4 linked regions of the Diceros bicornis minor genome follow. The protein of the gene in region 1 purifies or fractionates together with the protein of each later gene. This does not show direct contact. Links are inferred from orthologs where the notes say so. Each region holds a gene or a part of one and is shown in the gene's direction. Other genes may lie near its edges. The genes, in order: FOXO1, SIRT2, SKP2 and ATG7.

Region 1 (7,155 bases):
TTCAGATTATTATTGTCTGTGAGCAAACTGAAGAAAGGCTATTTTAGGTTGATAGCAGTACCTCCTAATAATTCAGACAAAATATTGGAAATGGGCAGTTATTGGGGAAAGGGAATGCAAAGTATTAAGTGTCATGACTGAAAAATAAGAATCCAGGCTTTTCACTTACTCATTGAATTGGACTTAAATTACCTATTTGGACAAGAATTTAAACCAGAGATCAGTGTGTTGGTGGTGAGGGGTAAATGCAGAAGTTTCTGCCTGGGAATTGATCAAAGGGAACCATCCCTCAGTCTTCCTGTCAATGATGACGCCATAATTACCCTGAAAACCAGGCAGAGGAAAGAAAACCACATTGGTTTGTGAGATGGGCTTTGTGAGGATAAATTGCCTTTTTCATTTTAATTGTCTTTACCTGACATGAAACATTTTTCTTCCTAGTTTGGCCACATGCACTAACTAATAAGTGATAATCATGAGAAAAAGCCTTCAAAGCAAACAGCTACCACAAAAAATACTGAAGAAGAAAAGAAATAAACTTTTTCTCTTAAACAGAACTAGTGCCAACCTAAATACTTTGGCATCCTTCAGAGAGAGAGAAGATGTTTACATTTTTGACTAAAAAAAACAAAACCACTTCTTTTGTAGTCTTTTTCCTTTACTTATCTTACTATCACTATCATCTTTTTGTGTCTGTTTTTTAAAATCTTTTTTTGCTTGTGAGGAAGCTTGGCCCCTGAGCTAAGATCTGTTGCCAATCTTCTTTTTGCTGAGGAAGATTAGCCCTGAGCTGACATCTGTGCCCATTTTCCTCTATTTTGTATGTGGGACACTGCCATAGCATGGCTTGATGAGCGGTGTGTAGGTCTGCGCCTGGGGTCCGAACCTGCGAACCCTGGGCTGCTGAAGCAGAGTGCATGAACTTAACCACTACGCCACTGGGCCGGCCCCTAAAGTCTTTTGAATCAAAACTTCACTCAGTTCAATGCAGTTCATCTAACTAAATTTAATAAAATCTGTGGGATTGACTAGAGAGAAAAACACCACAAAGTTTTATAGTGGTTATTGCTATATTGGCATTACAGAGTATTTATAATTTTCCATCTGTGTATTGAGAAGATTATTGATGGGAAAGCAAGAAATCAGAGCTCTAGCCTTGGCACCACCACTCTTATTTGTGTGACTTTGGGCAAATCAGTTAGCCTTTCTGTGCCTCAATGTCCGTCTCTGTAAATTAAAGGGGGCCATCAAGGTGATCTCCAAGTTCACTTTCTTTTTTTTTTTTTTTTTGTGAGGAAGTTCAGCCCTGAGCTAACATCCATGCCAATCCTCCTTTCTTTTTTTTCCCTGAGGAAGACCGGCCCTGAGCTAACATCTATTGCCAATTCTCCTCCCTTTTTTCCCTTTTTCTCCCCAAAGCCCCAGTAGATAGTCATATGTCATAGTTGCACATCCTTCTAGTCGCTGTATGTGGGACGCCACCCCAGCATGGCCAGACAAGCGGTGCATCGGTGCGCTCCCGGGATCCAAACCCGGGCTGCCAGTAGCGGAGCTCCCGCACTTAACCACTAAGCCAGGGGGCCGGCCCCCAAGTTCACTTTCGACTTGAACATTCTGTGGGTCTAGGTGAGAAGAAAGTTTAGCTTGACACAACCCTTATGGAGGGCGATTTGGCAGTGTCTCTCAAAATTACAAATGCGTTTAACTTGCTGACCCAGTGATCTCTCTTCCGGAAATTCCTCCTATAGAGATACTTGCACAGATGCAAAATGAGTTTTTCAGAAGGTTACTCATTACAGAATAGTTTGTGATAGCCAGAGACTGGAAAGAAGCCAAATGTTCACTAGCACCCTGCGGTTCAGTAAATTGATACATACAACGGTATGGTAAGCAGTTATAAACCCCCTTTAACATATATTTTTAATTCTTTTTTGAACTATGTGTCAGGGACATGGGCACTGTAGATACTCTATGCCTGCTTCAAGTCAAATAAAAAAAAAAAAAAAGCAAAGCAAACTATGATATTTAAAGAGACAATTAGGCAGGATAGCCCAGAAGATTTTAAGGATCTGGGGAAAGTCTGTAAGAATAATCCCTTAACCAATACTCTCCGCAGATTGAGGCCCTGAAAAACCGGAATTGAAATGAAGGCAAGCCAAATTTGCAGCTGGCTTCCCTTGCCAGGAATGATCCACTAGGGCACCGCCTATTTGAAGGGTGCGGCCGTCTGAATCCGGACCGCCTCTGCAGAGCGTAATTGGAAAGGTTGAGGGTAGCAACACTTCTACGTTACGGCCTTCCTTTGAGCTCATCATCTGGGTTACTGAGGTCCTCTAGCGGCTGGAAGAGGAGGCCCGATCTGTCCAAATGTGATAGTAAACGCAAAGAGACCACAAGAGGAGGAGGGTGGGAACCAGCCCTATCCTCAATCCATCGGGCTCACGACCCCCACCCCACACATCCCCAATATCAGTAGGAAGCTGTTGTGATAAGTGGATTATGAAGAATTAGGGGTCTGGACTAAGGCAATGATAGTAAGAATGTAAAGGAAGAAATAAATCTCGAAGTCTTTTCAAACTTTTGTACAAGAGGCCTATTTTCTTTAGATGCCACTTTTTCAATGGAAGAATTACCTATAAGAAAGAGAGGGGATTTTTTTAGAATTGGGAGCTGTCATTTTGGACAAGATATTTGCAACCCTACTGTCAATCTTCCATCCTAAGTGATCCCATCCCTCTGACAGGAAATGCCTTCCATATTCCTCCTAAAAATGCAAAAGCAAAACAAAACAAAACTTGAAAACCGTTTCTTCTACTCCCTGAGACACAAGGGCCATTGTCTGTCTACCTTTGGCCCCACTGATCTCGACAGGACGTCCTGGAGCTGGAGCCCAGATGGGGAAAGGTGGGGTGGGGGTGGGGGTTGATTGACGCACGCGGCGAGCAGCCTAAAGGAACTTGGGGGTGGGGCAGGGCTGCCTCCCAAGGCTTCGGTCCAGTCTCCTCTAGAGTTTTTACTTCTCAACACCTCATCATTTCTAAATAGCAAAGAAATTACAAGCAAACAGTTAAACTTAAGTATTGGTAAGTAATAAAGTGACAAGGTTCTCGCTAAATGCTCTCCTCTAACCCCTTCCCCGCCGCCCCTGGACTGACGCGGGGACAGTCTGCGGTTCCCGCCCAGGAGAAGAGGTTCCCACAGACAGCATGAGGTCTAGGATGCCTTTGGGTCTGTGTGCGCCTGTGAAATAGGACTGTCTTCTTCGCGCCGAGCCCCTTTACCTCATTTCTAGCCTTTTAGGTCAAGAAGACAGTGAACCCGGCTGGGGGCTGCTGGGCTGGAAGACTGGCCCCGGGCTAGAGCAAGCGGCAGAGGCTCGGCTCGGGGGTGCGGACAGGTGGGTTCCGGGCGCGGAGGCGGCGGGCAGGGCGCCCTCCCGGCGGACTTGACCGCCAGGGCCCCGGCGCCGGGGGCGTGTGCGGCCCGCGCGGGGGCCGGAGGACTTGACAGATCGCAGAGAAAGAAAACAAAAAACAAAAACAAACCCCTCGACTTCCCCACGTTTCTCCGCAAAGAAATCGTGGGTGGAGCCGACATGGGGTAATTGAGAAGAATTCCGCGAGGCCGCCTCCGTCCGCCCACCCAGCGCCCCCGGAGCCCAGAGCGACCCCGGCCCCCGCCCCAGCCCGCTCTGCGCCCAAGCGGAGGTCGAGGCGACGCCAGCGACTCATTCCACTCGGGCTCCCCGAGTACTCGGCTTTGCTCTTCCGTAGTAAACAAAGTGTCGCCACCGCCTCCACGCTGGTTTGCCTCCTAGCGATCAAAACAGTGAGAGGGCGAGAGACTCACAGAAACACTTGAGAATTACCAGAAAATAATAACAGAGATCCGAAAAAAAAAAAGAGAGAGAGAGCGTGAAAGAGAAAAACACCCCACTACCCCCCACCAACCCACTGCCGCCTCCTGGTGGAAAACAGGCCCCCGCCCAGGTGGTCGTCCATTGGCTGCTCGGGCCGCGGTGCCACGCGCTAATTGGCCGCAAGAGCTGTCAGTCAGGGGCGGGCCGGCGCGCGCGCCGCCGCGGGCGGGGGGCGGCGGCAGATCCCGTAAGCCGCCCGCCGCGTAGTCGCTGCAGCCGCAGCCGCCGCCGCCACATTCAACAGGCAGCAGCGCGGCGGTCGTGCCGCCGGAGAGAGCTAGCGGCCCGTGGCGTCTGTTCGTCCTTCCGTTCGTGGGACCTGTCAGCAGGAGCGCGGCGCCGCTGCTGCCCGGCCTGGCGACTCTGGCCTGCTGTCCCGTCTGTGAAGCGGACCTGAAGGATCCTCGATTTTGATGGACCCGCGAAGTTAAGTTCTGGGCTCGCGCTTCCACTCTGCTGCGCCTTCCTCCCGGTTTCCGTCCGCTCGCGGCACCGACCTCGCCCCCCCAAATCTTGGACCGGCTCTTCGCGCCCCCTCCCCTTGGCCCCCGGGGCTGCGCTCTACCCCTTCTTGGCTCTCCCGCGGCTGGGGGAGGGGCGGGGGTCACCATGGCCGAAGCGCCCCAGGTGGTGGAGATCGACCCGGACTTCGAGCCGCTGCCTCGGCCGCGCTCGTGCACCTGGCCACTGCCCAGGCCGGAGTTTAGCCAGTCCAACTCGGCCACATCCAGCCCGGCGCCGTCGGGCGGCGCGGCCGCGAACCCCGACGCCGCCGCGGGCCTGCCGTCGGCCTCGGCCGCCGCTGTCAACGCCGACTTCATGAGCAACCTGAGCCTGCTGGAGGACAGCGGGGACTTCCAGCAGGCGCCCGGCTCCGTGGCGGCGGCGGCGGCGGCGGCAGCGGTGGCGGCGGCGGCGGCGGCGGCTGCCGCCACCGGGGGACTGTGCGGGGACTTCCAGGGCCCGGAGGCAGGCTGCCTGCACCCGGCGCCGCCGCAGCCCCCGCCACCCGGGCCGCTGTCGCAGCACCCACCAGTGCCCCCCGCCGCCGCCGGGCCGCTCGCGGGGCAGGCGCGCAAGAGCAGCTCGTCCCGCCGCAACGCGTGGGGCAACCTGTCGTATGCCGACCTCATCACCAAGGCCATCGAGAGTTCGGCCGAGAAGCGGCTCACGCTGTCGCAGATTTACGAGTGGATGGTCAAGAGCGTGCCCTATTTCAAAGATAAGGGCGACAGCAACAGCTCGGCGGGCTGGAAGGTGAGTGGCCTCGGGGCGGACGGCCAGACCGGGGGGACGTGCGGGACCCTTGGCTCTGGCCGAGGTCGCGGTGGGGCAGCCGAGGGGTGGCTGTGCAAGTTTGCTTGATCTCAAAGAGCGGCGCACGCGGGCAGCGCGTGCAGGGAGCGGGCGAGAAGTGGCCGATGTGGGTGGTGGGCTTGCCCGGACCCGTCGGGGGACAGGAATAAGTGTGTGCGCACGCTCGCTCCCGTGCGAGTTGGAGCGGGAAGGGGCTCATGTGGGAACTAAGAGTAAAAAAACCACGCCAAGAAGTGGACATCAGAACGGGCAGAAAAGTTCGCCAGGGGAAGGAGAAGGGGGTTCACTGGGAGCTGCGCCCCCACGGCCCGCGCGGACTCCTGCCGGTGCGCCTTTTCCTCCAGGACCTCGGGGTGAGGGCGGCTCCTTCGTCCCCGGGGCGCGCGTCCCCTCGTCTCCTCGGCCGTGGGCCTCGCCGGGAGTCGTTTCCGCCGCGCCGGGCGGGGGAGCGCGCGGCGAAGGGCATCGGAGCCTCGCCGCTGGGGACGGGGCTGCAGGTGGAGGGGACAGGCAGGGCGCCAGCCGGCCCGTAGGGCTGGTCGCGCAGTTTTGGTGTGCATTTTGCTTTGTTTTGATTTTATCCGAAGTGAGCTGGAGTGCAGGGGGCCGGGCGCGCAGAGCCCGAGGTACCCCGTCCGACCCGTGCGAAGGGGCGGCCACAGCCTGCGCAGCGCCGGCGCCCGGCGGCGCTGGGCGAGCTCAAGTTCAAGTGTGACTCTCGGCGTGGGCGTGGGCGGGAGCTGGCGACGGCGAGGGAGGGGCCGGGGCGCAGGAAGCGAGCGCCGTTAAAGGGCCAGCGCGCCCCGGCCGTGCGCGGCTCAGCCAGGCCAGCGCTTCTTTGCGCGGGGAAGTGCCCCCAGACTTGGCCTTGCCCACCGTGCGAGGCCTTTAATTAAGCACCGGCAGGCTCCCCTGCGTGACCAGGGCTGGGGCTGTGTGTACCTTCTCTCTCGTTTTGCCACCTCAGTGTTATCGAGCACGGAGGTACAGATCCGAGGGGTAAGGCAGGGGGATTTGTGACAAGTGTTTGGGGAGAGTCGGAGTGGAAGTGCGCATCAAGGGGACCGGCAGGGACCTCCTGCCTCGGTGGGGGCCTCTAGATGAGGCGCCTCTGGCTCTTCGCGTTTCAGAGAGAGACCAGGAGAGACTCACCGTGAGGACAGGCACATCCCTACCCCGAGGTAGAGAAGGCCCCGGGGCCCCAGGAGCACGGGCTCTGGGGAGGCTTCTTGGGGGTCCATTTGCGGTGCGGCTTCCTGAAGCTGACAGCTTCTTACCGTCACAGGTGGAGGGATGTATGTGAAGGTTCCCTAGTTGAGCCAGACTCCTCCCTCACTCTTCGTCCTGACTGTAGAGCGTAATAAAGACTGATCTTGGCTGCGCAGTTATTACACTAAAGTTGTTTTACATACACTGTCATTCCTGTGGTTAATGTGTGTCCAAAAGGTTAAGTTACTCATGTTGTGTTGAAGTTCCTGGAGAAGGAGCTGGGATTTTATTTTTTTCAAAGTGTGTTTTAGACTAAAGGCATCACTTCCAGACTCATTACTAGGCATTACATGCAATTTTCCAAGTGTTACAGCAGGTAAAGTGTCTCCTTACTTTAAGCTCCGTGTGTAGTCTTTTAAGTCACACAATTAGAATTGTCCGCCAGATCCGATTTGACTTAACATTTGAATTGAAGTGCTTGCCTTACTTGCTCATCTGTCAGTCTTACTTGAACTGTTAATAAAGCATTTGCTGTTAAAAGAAAAAATCCTTTTTTTTTTTTGGCATTCAAAGTACAGTGTGTACTTACACCATTCTTTTACGTCCTTGGAAATGGATACAACCTACTTCAGCTTGCTGGAGTGCCTTTCTTTAAAGATAGAGAAAGGCAAAGTTTGGGGATTATTTTTAGTTTTGTCTCTCAAGTGGCC
Region 2 (6,926 bases), on another chromosome or scaffold:
AATTGACTGTTTAAGCAAAAATAATAACAACATATGGTGGAGTTTATAACATATGTATAAGTAAAATGTATGACATTTTACATATACACAAAGGCCAGGAGGGGACAAATGGAAATATACTATTCTAAGGTTCTTTTACTCTAGGTGAAGTGGCACAACATCACTTGAAGGTAGCCCATAATAAGTTAAAGCTGTACTATCCCAGAGCAGGAGTCAGCAAACTTTTTCTGTCAAGGGCCAGGCAAACATTTTAGACTTTGTGGATCATATGGTCTCTCTTGCACCTACTCAGCTCTGCTGTTGTCATGCAAAAGCAGCCATCGTCAATATGTAAGTGAATGTGGCTCTATTCCAAATGAACTTTATTTATGGAGTCTGAAGTTAGAATTTTACATAGTTTTCACTTGCCACAAAATATTCTCCTTTTTATTTTTTTTCAACCATTTAAAAATGTAAAAACCTTTCTTAGCTCACGGCCATACAGAAGCAGGTGGCTGGCTGGATTTTGCCTGGAGGCCATAGTGTGCCAACCCTTGTCTTTCAAAGCAACCACTAAAAATAACAAAACAAACAGTTAAAGCTGAGAAGCCAACAAAAGAAATACAATGGAACAATATTTACTCCTTCACAAAGAAGGCAGAAAAAGAGGAAAAGAGAAACAAGGAAGACATAAGTATAAAACTAATAACAAGCTGATAAACTTAAACATAACCGTATCAATAATTAAATTAAATGTAAACGGCCTAAACACTCCAATTAAAAGGCAGAAATTGTCAGGTTGACTTAAAAAGTAAAACTCAACTCTATGCTGCCTACAAGAAACATTCTTTAAATATAAATATTAAAAAATAGGTTAAGGGGGCCGGTCCCGTGGCGTAGCAGTTAAATGCATGCGCTCCGCTGCTGGCAGCCAGGGTTCGGATCCCGGGCGTGCACCGATGCACTGCGTGTCAGGCCATGCTGTGGCGGCGTCCCATATAAAGTGGAGGAAGATGGGCACAGATGTTAGCCCAGGGTCAGTCTTCCTCAGCAAAAAGAGGAGGATTGGCATGGATGTTAGCTCAGGGCTGATCGTCCTCACCAAAAAAAAAAAAAAAAAAAAGGTTAAAAATAAAAGGGTGGAAAACGATATACCAGGCTAACACGAGTCACTCAAAAGAAAGCAGGAGTATTTTCTGATCAGACAAAGTAGATTTCAGAGCAAGGAATATTAGCAGGGATAGAGAAGGTTATATCATAATGATAAAGAAATCAATTAATCAAGAGGACATAATAATCCTAAACATTTGTGCCTCTAATAACAGAGCATCAAATTACATGGAGCAAAAAGGAGAAATAGACAAATCCACAATTATTGTTTCAGATTTCAATACCTCTCTCTCAACAACTGATATAACAAAGAGACAAACTCAACAGCAAGGATATAGACTTGAACAATGCTATAACCAACACAACCTCTAACTGACATGTAAAGAACACTACACTACCAATAGCAGAATACACTTTCTTTTGAAGTGTACACACAACATTCTGAGCCATAAAACAAGTCTCAATAAATTTAAAAGGATTCAAGTCATACAAAGTATGTTCTCATCCACAATGGAACTAAATTAAAAATCAATAAAAGAAAGATATTTAGAAAGACTCCCAGATATCTGGAAACTAAATAACATGCTTCTAAATAATCCACCGGCCGAAGAAGAACTCAAAAAGAAATTAGAAATTATACTGAATTAAATGAATTGAAATGAAAATAAAGACACACAGGGGCCTGCCCAGTGGCGCAAGTGGTTAAGTGCGTGGGCTCCGCAGCGGCGGCCTGGGGTGTGCTGGTTCGGATCCCGGGCGCACACTGACGCACTGCTTGGCAAGCCATGCTGTGGCGGTGTCCCACATAAAAAGTGGAGGAAGATGGGCACGGATGTTGGCCCAGGGCCAGTCTTCCTCAGCAAAAAAAAAAGGAGGATTGGCAGATGTTAGCACAGGGCTGATATCCTCACAAAAAAAAAAAAAAAAAAGAAAAGAAAAACACACATATCAGAACTTGTGAGATAGTGCTAAAGCAGTACTCAGGGAAATTTACAGCACACGACACCTTGATTAGAAAAGAAGAAAGGTCTCAAATCAACAACCTCAGTTTCCACCTTAAGAAACTAGGAAGAGAAGAACAAATTAAACCCAAAGTAAGCAGAAGAAAGGAAATAATGCAAGTCAGAACAGAGATCAATGAAATAGAAAGAAAAAAAAAATAGAGAAAAGTAATGAAACCAAAGCTGGTTCTTTGAGAAGATCAATGTTTACTGAGTGCTCCTATGGGGAGACAGGAGAAAACACAACACACAAACCCAGGGACAACCCCCCCTCGGCTTTTACAACTGTTGTTCCTTCTCCCTGGACTGCTCTTCTCCCCAGACAATCTACTTGTCTCATTTTCCCGCTTTATTTTTGTCCAAAGAACTTACTGCTTTCTAACATACCACTTTTCTCTCTTTTTCTTCTTTCATTTCTTTCTGTCTTAGTTTCTTCCCGTCTTTCGCTTCTTTTCTCTTTCTTTCTTTGTGCCTTCCTCCATGTCTTGTCTGTCTGTCTTTCCTTCTGTCTCCCTTTCATTCTCTCTTTCTCTCTCTCTCCCTTTCTTTCTCTTTCTTTTCTTCTCTCTCTCTCTTTCTCTCTCTCTTTCTTTTTCCTCCCTTCCTTCTTGTCTGTCTGTCAGTCTGTCTGGCTGTCCACATACCTCCACTAGAATGTATGCTCCACAGGGCATATGTTTTTGTCTGTTTTCTTCTCTTGCCTTATTACCAGCACCTCAAACAGGGCCTAGAACATGGCAGCGTTTGATAAATATTTGTTTAACAGATGAATCCCTGCTGTCACAGAGCCTATATTTTCTCTTTGAATGTAAGATTTGAAAACTAGTGCTCAGAAGGTGGGATCTTAGAGTCAAAGGCCAAGTATTAATTGGGAAATCAAAGAAAAAGGCTCATAAATCAAGAGCTAAGGATCAACGATCATATTTGGAGATTAGAGGTCAGGAAGGGCCTGCCTTAGCTACAGTTCTAACAAAGGTCTCCGGACTGGGGTCAGGAAGGTTAAATTGACTTTTGAGATCAATGGATAGGGATGTGGAAATCTGAGAACCTGAGTTCAAGAAAGAACGGTCAGAAATTATTGGATTAGGATCAAAGCTGGAGAGGAAATTGGTCTTATTAAAGGTTAGGACTTGGGGGTTAGAGATCAGGAAGTCAAGCATCAGAAGTCAGATTTAGGATGAGAGGTTGGGAAGCCGGGATCAGAAACTAACAGGGAATCAGATGTCGGATCCTAGGGCCCGGTTAGGCAACCTAAGGTTCACTCACGTGTCCCCATCCTCAGTGACGTATCCGAAGACGAGGGGCGCCCACGACAGCCCTGGGCCCAGCTCCGCGCCCAGCCCCGGTCCTCCGGGGGCCGCCGCATCCGGACCCAGAGAGCCCAGGCCGCTGTCGCACCATTCGTCGGCGTCCGAGGCTTTCCCCAAGCACGCGACCCCGGCCATGGCCCCCGAAGCCTCAGGGGCCCCCAGCGGCCGCCCGCCCGTCGCTGGGCTTTGCCTGGATGTCTGGCGCTTCCGCCCTGCGGGGAATTCCCCAACCCGCCCCCTGACTCACCCAATCAGCGTGGGCTAAATAGCACATGCCCCACCCCCGTACCACACTGTGACCAATCAGAGTATTCAGATGGACTGCGGCTCTCTACCCATTCCCACATTTTCCGGGCGCCCTTTACCAACATGGCTGCTGGCGCGGGGCACTCTGGAACTCGTAGTCTGGCCCTCGGGAGTCTTCATTACCTGAGAGGCTGCGAAAGCTTGTTTGCGGCCGCGATGGCTGCTGGGAGTTGTAGTTCTCTGCCCTATGTCTGTCCCTCCTGTTTCCGGTGCCGTCACGGGACAGAGCAGTCGGTGACAGCTCCTAGGGCTCCCGCCCCGCGTCCATGGCCGAGCCGGACCGTGAGTCGGGGGCCCCGGTGGGAGGGTCGGGCCGCGCCGGGGCCTGGCTGAGGGCTGCAGGCCCCGGGGCCCGAGGGTGGGCTTGATGGGGCAGCAGATAGGGGCTGCGTAGGGGGGCGAGTGGGACTCGGCGGGCCGTTGCTAAGTGATCCGTATTGCTAGGTCGGTGGGTTTCTGGGTCGCGAGGTTTTAAGGGTCCGTTTGCCACGTCCCCCAAGTTACCCATGATTGCGTGTTTCTCGCACCTTGGTCGCTAAGGACCTTCGTTTCTAAGGACTTAGGTTGCCGCGGTCCCGGTTGCTAAGGGTATCTGGTTGATGGAGGGAGCTGTAGGAAGCTAGGGGACCCCTATATCCCCTCCTGTCTCTTCCCTCTAGTTCCTGTGCCTCTCCTAAACCTACCATTCCCACCACGCCTCCTCTCCAAACCTGCCTCCAGTCAGAGTATCTCTCATCTTCTCTTACTTTCTAAACTTCCCTCTGCCTGTAAACCTGACCCTCTCCGCGCACACACTCGCATACTATTATGTCCTCCCTACCTCCTCCTGTCTTCCTCCATGCCCTATATGCTTTACTTTCTCCTCCTTCTCCTAAACTTTCCCGTCCCAGCCTCTGTCCCTCACTAACCGCCTCTCCCCCCAGCCCTCTCCACTCAAATAAGATCTGCTTTTCCCCATCCCCTCCCTCCCTCTACTCCGTTTTTACTACCACTGCCCCCACCCCAGTATAACTAGGTTGGTGAGTCTTCTTGCCCCCTGCTCCCCTACTTTGAAGCCCTTCATTCCCCCTAACCATTCCCCCCACTGTAACCACATCTACTCCCCCTCCTCCCCCAGCCTCTGACCCTCTGGAGACCCAGGCAGGGAAGGTGCAGGAAGCTCAGGTGAGATGGGGAAAGGGTGGAGGGAAGGAGAGAGATGTGCTTGTTCCCACACCCCACTCCCCTGGGGGAGGTGACAGAGGGGAGACAGTTATCCCAGGGCCCTCAGCTCGCTGCCCCAATCCCTCACCCCACCTCCCCGGTCAGCCTCCTGGGGAATGGTGGATTCTGGGGACTGTCAGAGAAGGTCGTGCAGCCTCAACCCCAGGCCCTCTCCCCAGATCCCTCCCCCACCTCCCCACCTCCGCCAACCTTTCTGAACCTCATTTGTGTCATTGCTGGAAGAGACACGTATCCCATCTGGTCCCTGAACTCATGGATCTCATGGACAAATGACTAGAAAATGACCCTACAGGGCGATTATGAAAGTAGCTCAGGGCACTGTGGGAGCCCAGAGGCAACTTTGTGGGGTCACAGAGATTCCAGCCAGTCCCTTCCCTGGAGGAATCCACAGGCTGGTCTAGGAGTCAGACTGAGGTACAGACACATCATAGTAAGTGAAGAGTGCCTTAGTGTTTCCTTAGGCAAGATGAGAAGTGATGTTCCACGCAGAGGGTCCAGCCTGTGCAAAGGCTGGAGGGGCGTGAAAGAGGGTGATGTGTTCAGTAGTCGGTGGCTGGGGTGGTCAGCTACTTATATTCATGGGTACTTACTCCAACCAGGTGCTCTGCTTAGTGTTCTATATGCATCATCGCATTTCATCTTCCCAGCATCCCTGTGCGTGGCAAGATCTATCGTGGCCATTTTATAGATGAGGAATTTGAGGCAGAGTTGTCAAGCCTCTTGTCCTCTGTTTGCAACCCACAGCACTTGACACACACAGTGCCTTCCAGATGCTTTGGGGAGAGGTAGATAGGCCGCCTCACAGAGGCTCGAAGGCCCCGCCAGCACCTCCAGCTCCCCCTAAGCCAAGTTGCCCCCACGTGCTGGGCAGGGCCCTCGAGTCCTTCCACAGAGCCTCACTGTCTGCAGCCTGAAAGAGTGCCAGCCCACCCACAGACGCGAGGCTGCTGTTCAGATGGGGGACAGAGCAGAGCTGTGACTAGAGCACCCCACAGCTGCCTGCAAGAGAGTATAAGAGCCTCCATCAGGCCGGGGCTTCTCCCTCTGGCTCCCCAAGCCGGACTACTGTCAGAGAAAAAGGTTGCATGTTAAAAAGGAATCCTCAGTCCCAAAGAGAGAGATTCAGGATGTAAATTGCAGCATTGTCTGTGACAGGGCGAAACTAGAAACAGCCGGAATGGCTGTCAGTAGACGGGTGAAATGAACTATGGTGCATCCTTACAATGCAACTCTGTAGCTGCTTAAAAGAAGGAGGTGGGTCTATAGTGTATTGTTCCAAGGAAAATGCAGGGTGCAGCATCGTACTATGGTATGACCCATTTCTGGAAAAATAGTGAGGTTTCTATGCAGAGAAAAAATCTGGAGTAATGATTGTACTGCTAATAGCAGTTGTTATCTCGCCGGGGTGGGTGAGAGAATTACCAGGCAAGTGCCCAAGTTATACATTGTCTAATGGTCAGAGTTTTTGCAAAGTTTATATAATCTTAAAAAGCAATAAAACAATTTAAATATGTTTAGAAAGGAGGTTCCTATACTAAAAGGCTTGGAACCTGAGAGGGAGTAATGGGGGAGAGGGTTGTAGGAGGGGTTTAAGCAGGAGAGTGAGTTGGTCAGAATTGTGTTTTTATGAGGTCTGTTGCAGGGCCCAGCCCTGGCCCAGCACACAGCAGGTATTTGTTCAGTGATGGATAGTTCTGGAGCTCCTGCCAGGTGCCAGACCCTGTTCTTGTGCTGGACGTCCAGGGGTGAACACGCAACATCCCTGCCTTCGTGGAGCCGATATCGTGGTAGACTCTGGCTGTTCATGATCAGATGATTAGACCGGAGAAGCCAAAGGGAAGGGTCTTTGCAGTGGAGGCGAGCGGGCTGACCCGGACAGGCCATCACGAGGAGGGTAGCAGAGTAGACCGGAGAGACCGAAGCTGAGAGCCTAGGGCCCCTGGTGGGAGAGGACGGGCTAGACCAGCTGGAGCCCTGGGAGGGGACACATTATGGC
Region 3 (7,957 bases), on another chromosome or scaffold:
TACTCCAGATTATATGCTGAACTGTAACCATGTGCAGCTGTGCAAAAAAACTACTGAAGGGCAAAAGGGGAAATAGGCCTCTGAGCACAACAATGGTCCTTCTAATAATATTCTTTAAATATTAAAATAATGTGTTTAGGCTAAATGGAAAACAAGAAGAATATACTAAAATTTGAGGCAAATCAAAATTCAGTTCCATGTGATAAGAAATGAAAAAGAGACTTAAAGCTGTCATGGGTTGGCATTAACACCACAGCAGCAAAAGTAGATTTTACTCAAAATCAAAATGCCAATTCTTTCATTCAATCGAATTTTAACATCTAATATGCGGACATAGTCTACCTCTCAAAATACCAGTTCTGAAAGTCCTAAACACTTAAAATCCAATTCAGTGTTCTACCAATAATCAATATATTATACAATATTACCTTCAAATTCCTTTCATAATTAGCTTGTTAATGATACTGACTTGGAGTACTGTTTCCTGAGGGAAAGAGAGACAGGAAGGAAGGAAGAATTCATAATAAATGAACAGGAAAACACACACAAAAATTTTGTTAAAACCAAAGATCCTGAAACTGAATGAAAAATTTGACTGTCAGTCAGACTATCTGACTAAAACCTAATGATTCATCAGACTCAGATTATGTTAACTTAAACATGTATCTTTACTCAGATACATAAAGTAACAAAAACTAGGAGACAACTCAAGATCCTGCTAATGAAAAATCAAAAGAATCTGAACTAGACGTGAGTGATGAAAGTCAACAATTCTCTACCACCAATCAAAATATAAATCTTCCGAAGATAGTCATTATTCTTATGTTTAAAGACTCCAGGGATAGAGAGAATTCAGCTTAGGATGTAGACAGAATACCAGAAGAGAATATTGCTCCCACTCTAAAAATGGGAAAAAGTCATATTTCTTGAAGCTATCTTCAAAAAATAAGCTGAGGTGGCAAACCAACCAGGTGAACTGAATTCCAAAGCATGATAAGCCATTTGGAAGATAGACAAATATCAACTGTTTCACCTTTGCCAAGGTATGAGAGAGGAGGTAGCAACCATGTAAGCAGGTAAGAAGAAAACAACCGGATTTGTAATGAATTCTGGTATAGACATTGTAAGACTTATTTTGGAAACTGTAGAATACTCTGAGTCCTTCCTAATAACAAAATAATTTTTTAAAAAGGAATAGCTATCATTTAGCGTGAGTTTACTAAATTCCAACCATTGTGCTAGCACTTAACACACTTTGTTGAATTAGACCTCACAACCCAGTAAGAAAGGAGTGTTAGTATCCTTGTTTAATAGCAGAGAAAACGGCACAGAGAGGGTAAGTAATTTGTCCACGTTCCCACAGATGGTGAGTGGCAAAGCTGGGATTCAAACCGAGGCATCCTGACTACAGAGCCTGGCTCACAATTAGGATACTACACGGTCTCTTCCCCAGTCCAAACATACTTTTTTAATGCAATTTAAATTATTTAAATCATTTTTGTTCAGTTTTCATAGTGAACAAATTAGAAATTCTCCTATTATTCCTTTAGATATATGAAGATAGAATGCTAAGAAAGTCATGTTTAATATAGAATTTAACTAAGCCTTTTTACCTTGCAAGTAATACTGCCATTACTAAGGGTAATATATAACTCTAATCTACATGGGAAAAGTAAAAAGAGCAAATTAGAACTGGGGAAGAACCCTTCTGTTCTTGCCCTAATCTGTCCATCAGAGAGAGCACTAAACTGCAGAGAACTAAAGGTCTACTTTAAAATTAATCAAGGGAAAATAACTCTTTTGAAATCTGATTGGCAGATAGAAACTTCTTGCTATGTAATTGTTCTTAGTCTTTTGTTCCCCTAAGCTAAATAACACAGAAAAAAAAAAAGAAAAGAATTTTAAGATTTACTTCATGCTATGATTCAGGAAGTAAAGAAAAAGCACATCACCCTTCTATTTAAATAGAATCTCTTTTGTTTTACTGATTTTCAAAAAGATCACTAATATACTACTGTATATATATGGCTTATATATACATATATATATATTTGACTATAGCTTATAGTCAAATATCATTTCCAGGCCTTTTTGGCCCCTCCTGTGCCCTTGTAACTATGCTTTTGCCCCTTTGTATAACTTTCTCAATTTACAAAGTCACTTAGTATTCTATCTGAAGCTTCCAATGAGTACTAGAAATAACTCATCCCACAGTCATTTGCAGATATTAAAAAAAAAAAACTATAATTCATTTGTTGTAGATACTGATCTAGTAATTCTACTTCTAGAACTATGGTATACCTCTTTTACTAAAATGGGACATGGGGTGTGCTAAGATCAAACAAATGAAATTAATCAGGAAAATAAAAAAAATCCACATCAGTAGCAATCACGATGCAGTTCCTGAAGAGACCAGGCAGCAATCTCTAGTGACCTAGTAATCTCAAGTCTTCAATGGACACAATTCCTTACATTAAACAGAACCACATATACCAAATTAAACTTTTATTTACTATATTAGGAGAACAGCCATGATTAGAAGGAATGCAGAAAAAAATTATGCCCATATTAGCAAGCTACAGCGTTTCTCTTGTGAGTGCAAAGTGTTAGTCAAATATCTATTCTAGTATTAGAAGACTTCGATTTGCAGAGTTGAAAGGCTCTCTCTGAAGTCCTACAGAGGATCTGGTGTCCACCAATTCAGATACTGCAAGTATTCTGTGAACTAGAAATGTTCCCTAGCTCTCAAGCAACTACTAGCTAAGTCCCAGACTGAACAGGATACTTCTCATCTTTAAATTTAGAATCATCCCATCTCTTAGACCTTCTATCTATGAGATCTGTATCTAAAGTGGCCTTGCCAAATTACTTTATATCTCAAAACTTTGTTTATTCTCATCATGGCATTTTAAATACTTTTTTCCTTGTTTATTCTTTCTCCTCCCTTACTTACAAGCTTCCTCTGTCTTGTTCACTTTCCTGAAGGAGACTATAACTTTTATTGCTAAAAATACCTTCTCTAGTGGCTGGCCCCATGGCATAGTGGTTAAGTTCCAGGTTAAGCTCCAATTCAGTGGCCTGGGGTTCGTGGGTTCAGATCCCAGGCGCGGACCTACATCACTCACGAAAGCCATGCTGTGGCCATGACCCACATACAAAATAGAGCCAGACTGCCACAGATGTTAGGTCTGGGCCAATCTTTCTCAAGCAGAAAGAGGAGGACTGGCAACAGGTGTTAGCTCAGGGCCAATCTTCCTCACCAAAAAAAATATATGTATATATTTTCTCTAATGAGTTGCAATTTTAAGGGAAAAGATGTAGATTTCAAAGGAAGGCCACTGCTTTCTCCTTAGCCAAAGTAACATAAAACTGACTTTATGTAAAAAATCAGAATACTGCATTTAAAAATATTTTCCATACACTATTAGTTTAATGGTTTGTGAACATTCTACATAGTATTCTTTACCTAGTTTCAACCAAAATCACTTTGTGACCAGATCCCCTTTTTACACCAATTCCACCTACTTTCAAGAACAACTTGAAGCTTCATGAATACTTTCCTCTCTTAAGAAGTGGTTACTTTTCAAGCTAAGCACCAACCTTGAAACAAGCACAGACGTGGGCAAAGGAGGTTTAATTCATGTTTTTTAAAGAAATGAATCCTTTTTTTAAAACAACTAAGAATCACTTCTTTAAATAAAGTGTGTCACACAGCATAGTGACCTACTATTTTTGAGATGAGGCTGGCCTGCTTGCTTCTGAACTTTTTAAATCCTCTCCATTTTCCTTAGGGTCGGAATTTATTCCCCTTCCCTCTTCCACTGTTCTCCCGGGTTCACAGTTAACAGTACAGTTTGCACAACGGATTTCGCATGGTCATCCTACCTGGAATATGGCACGCTCCCTACTCTAAGCGCCCCCCAACTCTTCTCCGCAGAGATAGGCTAAAAGCAGCTGTCTTGACGGCGGCGACGCAACCCCAGACACAACCGGTTGAGCAAGCGCAGCCGAATGGCTTTGCTGGTGGCTCGCAGCGTTGCATTGTCAAGCCCTTTGCAAACATATAGTCACCTGATTTGTTCCCACGCTAGCCCTTATAAGACTAGTCAAGGCTGCCAGGGGATGCGCAGCTTTCCCACTGCACACAGGAGCCACTATGGTCTCCTGCTCCCCTAAAACTAAACCACCGCCTCTCGTTCGAACTGCGCTTTAGTTTACAAAACGCGTTATCTTATCCGCCCCTCTTTCCAAGCCTGGGAGACGAGCGTCGTCGTTGCAGTGCCTAGTTTACAGGTGAGCAAAGGATCCTGCCCACAGACCCGGTCCTAAGGGCCGCCCTCTCCTCCGTGGAGGAGGCAGCTTCCTGGGAGAGGGGAGAACAGCTGTGACGCCCCGGGCTCGCAGCCTCTCACCTGGCCGGTGGGCCGGGCTACCGCCTCCACTCAGCTTCCGGGAACGTGGGCCCCGCGGCGGCGGCCAACCGGGGTCTCCAGGGTCCTCTCGATGTCCGTCTGCGCGCGGCCCCAGACCCAAAGCGCCTCACGCTCTCTCCCTCAGGCCCACCGTCCGATCTCGCCAGACAGCGTCTGGAAGGCCCAGGAAACTCCGCGTCCGCCACAGCCGTCCAGGGTCTGGGACCCACGCGCCGAGGCGACAGCGGTGGCGGTCACCAGAAGGCCTGCGGGTTCGCGGGAAAGGAAAACCCGGCCCCAGTCAAGCAGCTGACATTTCTCAGTCAGCCGAAGCACCGCCCACTTCCGCTTCCCCGCCTACTCCGTGGGCTCTGCAGCCCCTCAGCCGCGGGGGGTTGTGGGTATCGCGAGGGCGGGCAAAGCTGCAAGGAAAGAGAGTAGTGGCGAGCCAGGCGGACTACGGGGCAGGGCAGAAACTACAATTCCCAGCAGGCAGGGGGCCGCAGACGGCGGCTGCGGAGGAGAGCGGGCAGAAGAGCTCTGCGCGCGCGGCGGGGATGGAACGTTGCTAGAGTTCGCGGGTCTTGCTGCTGCACGCTGCAGCAGCACGCTGTGAGCCGCCGCGCGCCAAAGCGGGAATCCGGGAGGCGGGCAGCTCTGCAGTCAATGCACGCATTTAAAACTCCCGAACCTGTAGACGCCATGCACAGGTAAACTGATTGCAAAATGGGGCAGAACATGAATGGACCTTCTTAATTCATTTAGGCCGCGGATATTGCTACTTGCAATATTGTTACTAATGCTGCAATGCGAATGATTGCTTAGCCGCTTCTTTGGGAAAGCGCGAATGGATGGAAGCTTTAGTGCGGTGATCAGCGTGCGGTTTTATTAGGCTCCCCTTATTGGGCTTCCCTGCTACTGTTTTCAATCACTGTGTGATTGCCCTCTTTCTTTCCTTGTCTGTTCTCTCGACTTTAAGAAATTCTTGAGGCCTTCTGCATGATCGTAAATCAAAGAGCCTTTTCGATTTGTTTGGTTATTTTCTCTTTCATTCTTGGGAACTCGCTACCATCACGTAAAAAATGCAATTCTGTTAGCTATTGTGAAAGTTTTCTACAATGCGTAACTGGCAATTCCGTTTAGGCCTACCTTGGAATTATTTACGGGTGTGTTGTAGAAAGAAGCGGGGTGGCTATTGTGCATCTTTGCAGGAAACACCTCCAGGAGATTCCCGACCAGAGTAGCAACGTTACCACCAGTTTCACGTGGGGATGGGATTCTAGCAAGACTTGTGAACTGCTGTCAGGCATGGGGGTCTCCGCCCTGGAGAAGGAGGAGGTGGATAGTGAGAACATCCCCCAGGAACTGCTCTCAAACCTGAGTCATCCGCAGAGCCCGCCACGAAAACGGCTGAAGAGCAAAGGGAATGACAAGGACTTTGTGATCGTTCGCAGACCTAAGCTAAATCGAGATAACTTTCCAGGTAATGTATGAGGGTAAAACTGTCAATCACCCAAAGGGTGTGTTGAACTAGTTTGTTGTGCAAAATGGAGATTTGTTCAGGGATCTTTAGAATGGGGCCCTTTTAAAATTGCCTAATTCTAAAGCTATTTTCCAAAGAAATGAGACAACTCATTGTCGTTGAAGTCTACAGGAATATTGGTAGGAACATATCTTCTAATGCACAATTGACTTTTGATCCATGTGAAATTTTAACCCATGAGAAGACATTCCTGCCTTTTTCCTTAGAAGGGAATCTGCCTGCTCAAAAGCCAGCTCAGTGCCACTGATAAATGGGAACATAAGCAAAGATCTTCTTGTAGGATTCTTTTTGTTTATATTCTGCTGCTCTATAGCCCTGGTTGAGCTTTTTGCTATAATCACTTTAGTTATTTGTCTAAGAACTGCTAAAGTGAAAGTTAAACACAAGTGGAGGAGACTTATCTCCCCAAGTACACTCTCAAATGGGCTTCCTCTGGCATGCCCTGTCTCCATTACTGCCAGCATTAAACCCAACCCAACCCAACAATCTGAGGGTCACTCAGATTCCCACCATCCCCTGACATCCAGCCAATCATTGAATCTTTCCCTCTTGTCTCAGAAATATTCTCAAGCTTTCATCATCTCTTGCCTGAACTATTGGAATGGACTCAGAATTCTAGCCTTATCCTCCCCAGATCCATCCCCAGAGTTAGAGTGGACTGGTTGAAATGTAGAACTCACTATATCATTCCCCTCTTAATAGCTCCCCATTCCCAGTCTTCTCGGCAGGTGAGAGAGTGCCTCCCAGAGTGTCTCCCAGAGAACCCCAAGAGTACTCAGTCATAGGGTAAACATAGTGCATTGACCTGGGGTTATCAGTTTTTCTTGCTAGTAAGTCATTTAAAACACTAATTCAGCAAATATTTGCTGACAACATGCTATGTGCTAGGCATTGTTCTAGGTGCTGGGGATACAGCAGTGAGCAAAACATAAACATTCCTATGCTCGTGCAGCTTCTGTTCTAGAGAGAGGACACAATAAACATAATAAATATGGTAGGTAGTATGTTAGAAGGTGATAAGTGCTATAGCTAAAAACAAAAATAGAACAAGCCAAGAGAGATTGGAAGGACTAGAGTGGGAAGATGGATTGCAATTTTGAGCAGGGTATTGAAGGAAAGCTTCACTTAGACAGTGAGCTTTAAGCACAGGCATAAAGGAGGTGAGGGACTGTGCTATGCAAATACCTTGGAGAAGAGAGCAGCAAGCAGAGGGACCAGCCAGTGCAAAGACCCTGGGGCAGAAGCGTGTCATGTTTGTTGAAGGAACAACAGGCAAGCCATACTCCCAGAGTGGAGGGAGGGAAGGGAGAGTAGTGGGAGATCAGGCTAGAGGTGGTGGTGAGCAGAGTTGTGATGTGACCTTTTAAAAGGACACATTCATGTGTTGAGATTAAAATGTAGAGGGTTGAAGGTAGAAGTTTAGAGACTTGTTAAGAGGTATGGGCTTGGTGATAAACTGGTCAGATTCTGGATAGATTCTGACATTAGAGTCAACAGAATTAGGAGGCTATTGAAAGTGTCTGAGTAGAGGTGATAAGTCTAAACTGAAATTGGGTGGGCAATGGAGAAAAAGAGATTAAAGAAATAAAGATGAAGTCTTGCAGATCCAACATAAATAAGTATATTCCTAAATTCTTCCCATTTGGCTTCTTTTGCAGAAGCGTTGATTGGTTGGTTGGTTGCTTGCTTTGCTTTAAAAAAATCTGGGGTTTTTTTGGTTTTTGACCTTTTCATTAGGAAAAAGAACCTTCAAGTTATGGTCTGGGAATCTGCATCAGGAGTTGGTTAATTAAAAAGGCAGCGAAGGATTGTGGTGAATTCAGACAAATCTGGGTTTGAATCACTATTCTGCTGTTTATCAACATTGGCAAGTTATTTGAGTTCTGTGTGCCTTAGTTTCTTTGTGAAATGGAGTGATAATACTCACTTCATGGGCTGCTGTGAAGATTAGATGACAGAGCACACGTAAAGCTCTTAGCGTGCTGCCTGGCACATAACACTC
Region 4 (7,258 bases), on another chromosome or scaffold:
ACTTTGATCAGAGACCTGGATTTGAGTCTGACAAAAACAAGAAACTGTCAATATAAATTGTCAGAGCATAAAGAACAAGGTCCATGCATTACTGTATACAGTGTTTACAGTGCTTTCAGACCATGCATTACTGTATACAGTGTTTACAGTGCTTTCAGAGTGTCTGGTACACAGTGGGGACTCACATGTAGTTTTCAAACATACTGAGCATATACCATGTGCCAGGCTTCGTGCTTTACCACCATTATCTAATTTAACCTCTACAACAACCTCATGAGGAAGATTGCTGTGTTGTTACAAACAGGCAAATGGAAGCACAGAGAGGTTAAGGACCGGCTCCAAAATCTGATTCTGGAATACATTTCTTTTCCACAGTATCTACCTGCTCTTCCTACTCCTATATGATTGATTGAATTAATTCTTGAATTTATAAAAGGCAATAGACCATGGTCCGGAAATAACTCAGCCTCAGCCCATTCAGGAAAGAATCAGTGGCCAGTGGCTTGCACAAAATCTAGCTGAAACCAGGCTCTCTGCCCGAAATATTAAAATAAATACCTTCTAGGAGAAGGCTGTCATAGAAACCTTGATTGTAGATAAGAACTTGCAGACTCAGAAGCTCCTTCGAGTTTCTTTTTATGGGCTTAAAGTTAATTAGCTTAAAGCCAATTCCTCGAATGACCAATTTGCCAAATTTATCAAATGTTGGCATCTTTTTAACTATTTACAGGGTTTACAATGACACATATTGGATGAGGCTTTTAAGAACAGTTTTCTACAATTGTTGTGAAGTTATAGCAACTGATTTTCGTTTTTCTTCATAGCCACATATTGAAGAAGGTCAATTTGTCTTTGTCCCCAGCTTGCTGCTACTGCAGGGAGAGACTGAGTTGTAGACAGGGGAGAAATAGAGGTGAAGAGACTGAGGATGAGAGAAGGAAGGATAAGGGGTAGAAAGAAGAGGAAACTAGGGGAGGTGGGGGGAGACAGAGGGTCAGAGATGATGGACTAGGAGGAAGAGATGGGGTCACCAAAGGACAGAAGAGGGAGAGGGCAAAATGGATGTGCACAAGGACAGAGATGGGGAAATACTAAGGGGCAGATGGACACTAAGAGCCAGAGAGACGGAGACATTTAGTGAGAGAAAAAGGGAGACACTGAGAGGGAGACATAGGGAGAAACTGAGGAATGAGAAAGAAGATAGAAAAGTAGAAGTGGAGAGTCAGAGACAAAAAGATAATAGACCGAGTGGCATAATATTAATACACTTAAGAAAAATCTACATTCAAGAACATATTTTTCATTAATGTAGTCATAAGTTAAATATATTCAAAGGAAGAATAAACCATCCTTAGCTTTTGATAAATAGAAAATTCTTTCAAATGCTTCTCTGAAGACGACGTGAAAACCAGTCAACTACTGCATCACATAAATCTTTAGAAGCTCATGAAGCCATTCCATCCAATAGAAATTGTTGTAAACCTTAGAAGTTGGTGACATTTGCAAAGTGTTCATTCAGAAAATCTACAAGTCTGCAGGTTGGCCATTTGATGAAGTGATCATTTGGCTACTTGGCTTGCAGAAAATTGTTGATCTCTCTTTTGAAGAAGAGCCCTCCAGGAGGTAGATTTAATAGTCTTAACACAGGGTGAAAAAGATGCTGGGGCTCTCCTGGCTGCAACACACTCTAAGTGCTGTAAAGAAACAACGCTGTTAAGATCTCATTTGCCAACGTGTCATTCCACGATTTCTTGGGCTTTCAAAGCGTAGGTGGCATGGCATATGGTTCCCATTGTAGGGAGTCTGTGCTCTCAACTGAGCTGCAAGGCAAGTGATAAAAGTGGGTTGACCTGAATCATTGTGGTCTTGAATAAGTGTCAAGGGCCTCATTGTCCTGCTGCATCTGAGAACATTCTCTGCCTTTTTATGGCTCCTGGTCTTGCATCTTTCTTGATGCTTCATCATCTTGGTGCCCCAAGGGTCTGTATCCCCCATCCTGGGCAGCAGGGGCAGGTCTTCTGCTCCAAGCCTCCCTAATTCCTGCTAACAAGGAGGCCACATTTGTGACCTGAGTCACCATCTATTTTGGCTGCCCAGACCTCATCTCTTAATTTAACAGATACTTTTTGAACACTTCTTGGGCCAATTCTTGAGCCAGGCACTAGGAGACCATGGAGAACAAGATGACATGGTTTCAACCCTATGGAGCTACTTCAGGGTTGGAAGTGATGGAAACCAGCTTTGTGAATGGCTGCTGGGGTGTTTTGTGAAATCCAATAACGTTTTAGATGACCTCACCTCAGGAAGAGCTTGAGCCAAGTCAGCCACAGGAACCTCAACGGTCAGAATTTGAGGAAGTTCCCTATAGAATATTGCCATTGACCAATATGAATTATTCCTGTTCCTATTTTCTATGAGCATCAGTTCTCAAGTCCAAAGCTCAGGGTAAAGAATCATCCTGTGTCCATTTCTGCTGCAGTCAACTCTGAAGAGAGGTGGGAGGCCAGGTGGCACATGTAGGAGAACCAGCAGTTCCCAGAGAAGGGGGAATCCTTGTGAGCTCGGCAGAGTGAGCTCGGCAGAAACTCCACAAGGTATTAAATTAAGGATCTCGAAGTCCAGCAGGGGAAACAAGGTTAAAAAGAACTAACTTCAACCTAGCCTCATATAACCTTAATAGAGTGAAGCCTGGAGGTAGGTGGGTGTCAGGCATGCCTTCACATAGGAGGTGACCCCTCTACTGGGTTTTTTAAAAATCAAACTTATTACATTAAATATATACAGTAAAATGCACTCATTTTAAATATAGAGTTTGATGAGTTTTGACAAATGTGTACAAATGTCATACCCATCTCAATCACGATATAGAACGTTTCCATCACGCCAGAAAGTTCCTCATGTCCCTTTGCAGACAATGCTCCCTTTATGCCTCAGGCAACCACTGATCTGACTTCTATCACTATGTTAGTTTTGCTGATTCTAGAACTTTACATAAGTGGAATCATATAATATGTACTCTTTTTTCTATCAACATTTCAACTGGATTTTGAAGATGGGGAAAGGGTTACACAAGCAGAGGAAGGGTGAGGGTAGCAGAGATGGAGCCGGCATACCACCCCTCCTGAGAACAGGCTGGCCTCAAAGTAAAACATCCTATGATTTACTACTGTCCAATCAAGCCACGCTTTCTTCTCACTTTCCCACCGGAGTTCTTTCTTGCCTTCACTCTTCCCTACGGAAGAAAAACTCTTTTTGCCTAACCCTGGAGACACTTGCAGATCTTTTGGTCAGAGTCTCCCTATTGCAAGATTCCCTCCCCCACCCATTGCAATAGTCCCCGCCCTCTCCTTCCCCACTGCTTATAACAATCCTTTCGAATAAAGTATCTCCTCAGTAAGTCAAACAGGCTTCTGTTAGACTCCTGGCCCAAAAGCTCTTTAACCTTCAGCAAGCGCCTTAACCTTTCCTAGTCTCCGCTCTTTCATATGTAAAATGGGAATAATATAACATCTACCTTGCAGGCCCTTTGTGGCGATTACAGATGTGAAAACCTGAAAACATTGTAGATAATAAATAGTAGTCATTACTCTTGTTATTGTAAGTCTATAGAGCTACGTCAGAGGCGCTTTGTGAATGGCCTTATATGTCAGATTAAGTTTACACTCACTATTGTATCAACACTTCTCCAATGCCTGGTACAGAGTATATGCTCAATAAATAATTTAGAATGAATAACTTTATCTCATTGACAGCAGGAAGCTATGAGAATAATGTCTGGTTTACAAAGAGCAAGTCGGTCAGTGTCGACTTTCATCGACCTTTACCTATTAAAATTCTCATCTCCTGTGTCTCCATACCTGCCTTCCTCGTGGTCCCCGTGATTCGTTTGATACTGCCTCTCCTGGAAAATGGAAATAATGATAATTCCTGTCATCCTCTAAAATCAAAAGAAAGAACGTGGAGCACTTTTTGAAAAGTCTCACGGGCACATATACACAATCCCACATCTGATAAACGGGAGAAAGTCTCTGTGCCTCGGCTCGCTCCAGGGGGTCCTCGCCCACCTCCTGATGTCCCGCCTTCCCCACGCCTCAAGTTCCGCCCCCTCAGCCTGGTGCTAGGGGCTCCTTTACCAGGCTGGCCCGAGGCTCTGTGTGCGCACGCGCACCGTCCTCTCGCCCCGGCAGGCGGGGGCGGGGCCGCGTTGCGTCATCGGGGCGCGCGCTGCGGATGACTGTGTGGTTGCCGGAAGTTGAGCGGCGGTAAGTGAGCCGCAGCGGTGAGGGAGGCGCGGGCTGCTTCGGTGTGGCTTTTGGAGGCCTGGCGGGAAAAGGCGAGCTCGGCGATGAGGGCGAGGGTCGCGGCGGGTCTCAGGATCCTCCTCTGCCCGTGCCTGGGCTGTCTGTCTCCAGGGAGTCGCTGACTGCGGCTCTCGCCCTCGTCCAGTCACGTTCCCTCAGACTGGTTCAGCCGGGGTGCTCGGACAGGACGCTGCTGTCCTGTCTCTGGCGGGGAGTGCCCCGAATCTCCGTTGTTGGAGCCCTGGAGACAGACGCCTGGGTTCTGGTCCTGGCTTTGCCTGCCACGGTCTGCTGTGTGGCTGTGGCGCATCCCTCCCCTTGCTGAGCCTCTCTTCCCTCATCTGTGATGTGGGAGTGATAACACGTCATTGGTGAGGCGAGGAGGTTCAGTTAAGGCAGCTCGAAGGGCTTTTCTGATCCAAGGTGCTCGATTTCTTGGTTTGGTCCGGATGCTACAGACTTGAATGCTTGATCAGTCAGGTTAGGTAAATGTGGGTGTAAGAAAATTTTATGTCAGTCAAACTTATTTTTACTGAATTGAGTTTTATGAGCGCAATACTAACATATTGAAGAAATGAACCCAGAACTTCAGTGTGTGTGTGTGCGTGCGGGCACGTGCAATCCCTTGATTTTTAAACACTAATGACTAATGATTTTTTAAAAAGCATTGGCAAGTGATAGAAAACATTTTTTTAAATTGCGCCTGTAACCAGGCGTATCTGTGGCTGCCAGTTTGGGGCCTCTGGATCCCAGGCTCCCTTTCCCACTGAATACTTGGATTTCTTTTGTGGCACCCCCGCTCGCTGGTTAAATTTCTTCAGTGACAGAAAGCTCACTACTTTTGGCCTTACTCCTGTTTGGTCTGCCCCCAGCTCTGACTCATAACAAGTCGTATGCAGAGCTGAAAGCGGTTCCCTAGTGATCTCAGCTGGTTGTCCCTCTTTCAGGCTCTTGGGCTCTCCCTTCACGGAATTGCCCCGCACATCTTTGAAAGCTGCTAGTTTGTCTTCCTCTTCCCACCTTTTCTTTTCCAGGCTAAGCATATTTAATTTATTTAGCCACAGTAAACTCCACATAACTGAGAATTTTGACTTGTTTTATTTGTAGTTGTATCCCTGGCGTATAGAACAGTGCCTGACATATTATATATGCTCAGTAAATATTTGCTGAATGAGTGAATAAAGCAAATATTTGAGTGCCTGTTATGTGCCGGGCATTATTGTAAGCACCAGTGATGTAGTGGTAAAATAAGGCAAAAAAACAGCCCTGTTTCATGGACCCTACTTTTGATGGTAGTGGTGGCGACTGTTGTGATTGTCAATAAATACGATACTTTTAATGGTTGGCAGGTGTTTCAGATCCTGATGGATGCTACGAAAAAAAGAAATGGTAACAGCGTGGAGAGTAACTGAGGGGAAGCAGAGGGAGCTCTTTTTAAAGCTAGCTGATCAGGGATGACTTCTCTGAGGAGGTGACGTTTGATCTAACACCGGAATGAAGAAAAAGCCATACTTGTGAAGGCTCATCTTGCCTAATTGTTCCCCCATCCCCCACCTCTGTGCTCTAGTCTTGTTAAACTGCCTACAGGCTGTGTCTCACCTACAGTCCTTTGTTTCTGCTGCCTAGAACATCTCCCTTCCCCCTCTTTTCTTGGCCAGCTCCTCCCTGCCCCTCATGTGACATGGTTTAGAAACCCTTTAAAGAGCTGAGAACTGGGCTTGCATTCAACCACAAGGTCCCTTTTTTCTTCCCAGCCAGCTTCTCGTAATAGAGAATAAGCATAAATATTTATTGAGCTTTTGCTCTGTGCCTGGCACTGCTCTGCAAGTGGAAACATGAAAGTGAGTAAGATACACATCCATGTCCTCAAGGAGTTTACTTTTTTTTAAGTCAAGGAGGTAGACAACAGCACTATGGTATGAAGCTGTTGTTGAAGTTTGCTGGAGAAGGACTTAGCATGCTCAGGCTAAGTCAGGCTGAGGCATCAGAGAAGGCTTCTGTGAGGAGATGTTGCTTTATCCAAGTCCTAAAGGATGAGCAGGATTAATCAGGTGAAGAGGGATGGGAGGTGGGATGATTTTGCAGACATTGGGAGGGGTGCAAGCAAATGGCTGTGGGTGAGAATGCGTGACCTGCAGGTAGTTGCCCCGAGTTAGAGTGGAGTGTAGGATAAGGGTGGCTGGAAAGGTAAGCAGGAGCCAGATCACGAAGGGCCTTGTGGGCAGTTGCATGTTAAGAACACAGACTTTGGAATCTAAGATACCTGTGTATCAACACTGGTTTTGCTGCTGAACTAGTTTTGTGACCTTGGGCAAGTCGCTTCCTTTCTAAGCTTCTATTTACTCATCTGTAAAAGGGAAATATAGCCTACCTCCCAAGGTTGCTGTGAGAATTGAATGAGATGATATCTCTTACCCACTTGGCACTGGTAGATGGTAAACTCTAAACTGTAGCAGTTAGTATTGCCATGCTAAGAAATTTGGAGTTTATTTTGAAAGCACAGGGCTGGAGAGTGGGGCACTGAAGAATTTTGAACAGGGGTGTGACATCCTCTCATCTGTTTTAAATTACCCAGGCAGCAATGTGGTGATTACACTGAATAGGGCAGGACCAGCAGGGAGACCAGTCAGGGCGCTGTTGCAGTGGTCCAGGTCACATGGGAGAGAGGCCTGAACCAAGGCAGTGGCTGTGGGGATGGGGAGGGGTGGGTGGAGTTGAGAGATAAAGGAAGAAGGATTTACTGGACTGGTAACTGATTGGATGGCAAGGAGAGGAGGGAGCCAGGAATCAGGATATTGAGGCGGGGGGAGGGGATGAATCCTCTGTGGAAATAAGTAATAACCAAGTTCTTCGCTTAGTGGTCCCTGGTTGGTTATGCCTGACCACCTGTGAGATTTTATTTGGAAGTCCAATTTACCCAAGTTCACTAATGGCTTCCTCCTCTCCTCTTTCTGTCT

The links.
Region 2: the proteins of FOXO1 (region 1) and SIRT2 purify together in Homo sapiens (affinity purification with western blotting; 3 studies listed by BioGRID). This does not show direct contact. The link is inferred for Diceros bicornis minor from reciprocal best matches to the Homo sapiens genes FOXO1 and SIRT2.
Region 3: the proteins of FOXO1 (region 1) and SKP2 purify together in Homo sapiens (affinity purification with western blotting; 4 studies listed by BioGRID). This does not show direct contact. The link is inferred for Diceros bicornis minor from reciprocal best matches to the Homo sapiens genes FOXO1 and SKP2.
Region 4: the proteins of FOXO1 (region 1) and ATG7 purify together in Homo sapiens (affinity purification with western blotting; 4 studies listed by BioGRID). This does not show direct contact. The link is inferred for Diceros bicornis minor from reciprocal best matches to the Homo sapiens genes FOXO1 and ATG7.

Annotation. Positions count from the first base shown.
Region 1 is NC_080748.1:24,852,850-24,860,004, reverse strand, and holds the start of FOXO1 (forkhead box protein O1), read left to right. Parts: upstream 1-4,141; 5' UTR 4,142-4,528; coding exon 4,529-5,176; intron 5,177-7,155. UniProt on the Homo sapiens protein: Transcription factor that is the main target of insulin signaling and regulates metabolic homeostasis in response to oxidative stress.
Region 2 is NC_080773.1:13,005,581-13,012,506, reverse strand, and holds the start of SIRT2 (NAD-dependent protein deacetylase sirtuin-2), read left to right. Parts: upstream 1-3,913; 5' UTR 3,914-3,972; coding exon 3,973-3,988; intron 3,989-4,823; coding exon 4,824-4,870; intron 4,871-6,926. Other genes in the region: NFKBIB (NF-kappa-B inhibitor beta), read right to left, coding at 3,357-3,535. UniProt on the Homo sapiens protein: NAD-dependent protein deacetylase, which deacetylates internal lysines on histone and alpha-tubulin as well as many other proteins such as key transcription factors.
Region 3 is NC_080759.1:32,941,700-32,949,656, reverse strand, and holds the start of SKP2 (S-phase kinase-associated protein 2), read left to right. Parts: upstream 1-4,953; 5' UTR 4,954-5,078; coding exon 5,079-5,122; intron 5,123-5,623; coding exon 5,624-5,895; intron 5,896-7,957. UniProt on the Homo sapiens protein: Substrate recognition component of a SCF (SKP1-CUL1-F-box protein) E3 ubiquitin-protein ligase complex which mediates the ubiquitination and subsequent proteasomal degradation of target proteins involved in cell cycle progression, signal transduction and transcription.
Region 4 is NC_080741.1:83,968,148-83,975,405, forward strand, and holds the start of ATG7 (ubiquitin-like modifier-activating enzyme ATG7), read left to right. Parts: upstream 1-4,240; 5' UTR 4,241-4,262; intron 4,263-4,306; exon of another isoform or gene 4,307-6,352; intron 6,353-7,258. UniProt on the Homo sapiens protein: E1-like activating enzyme involved in the 2 ubiquitin-like systems required for cytoplasm to vacuole transport (Cvt) and autophagy.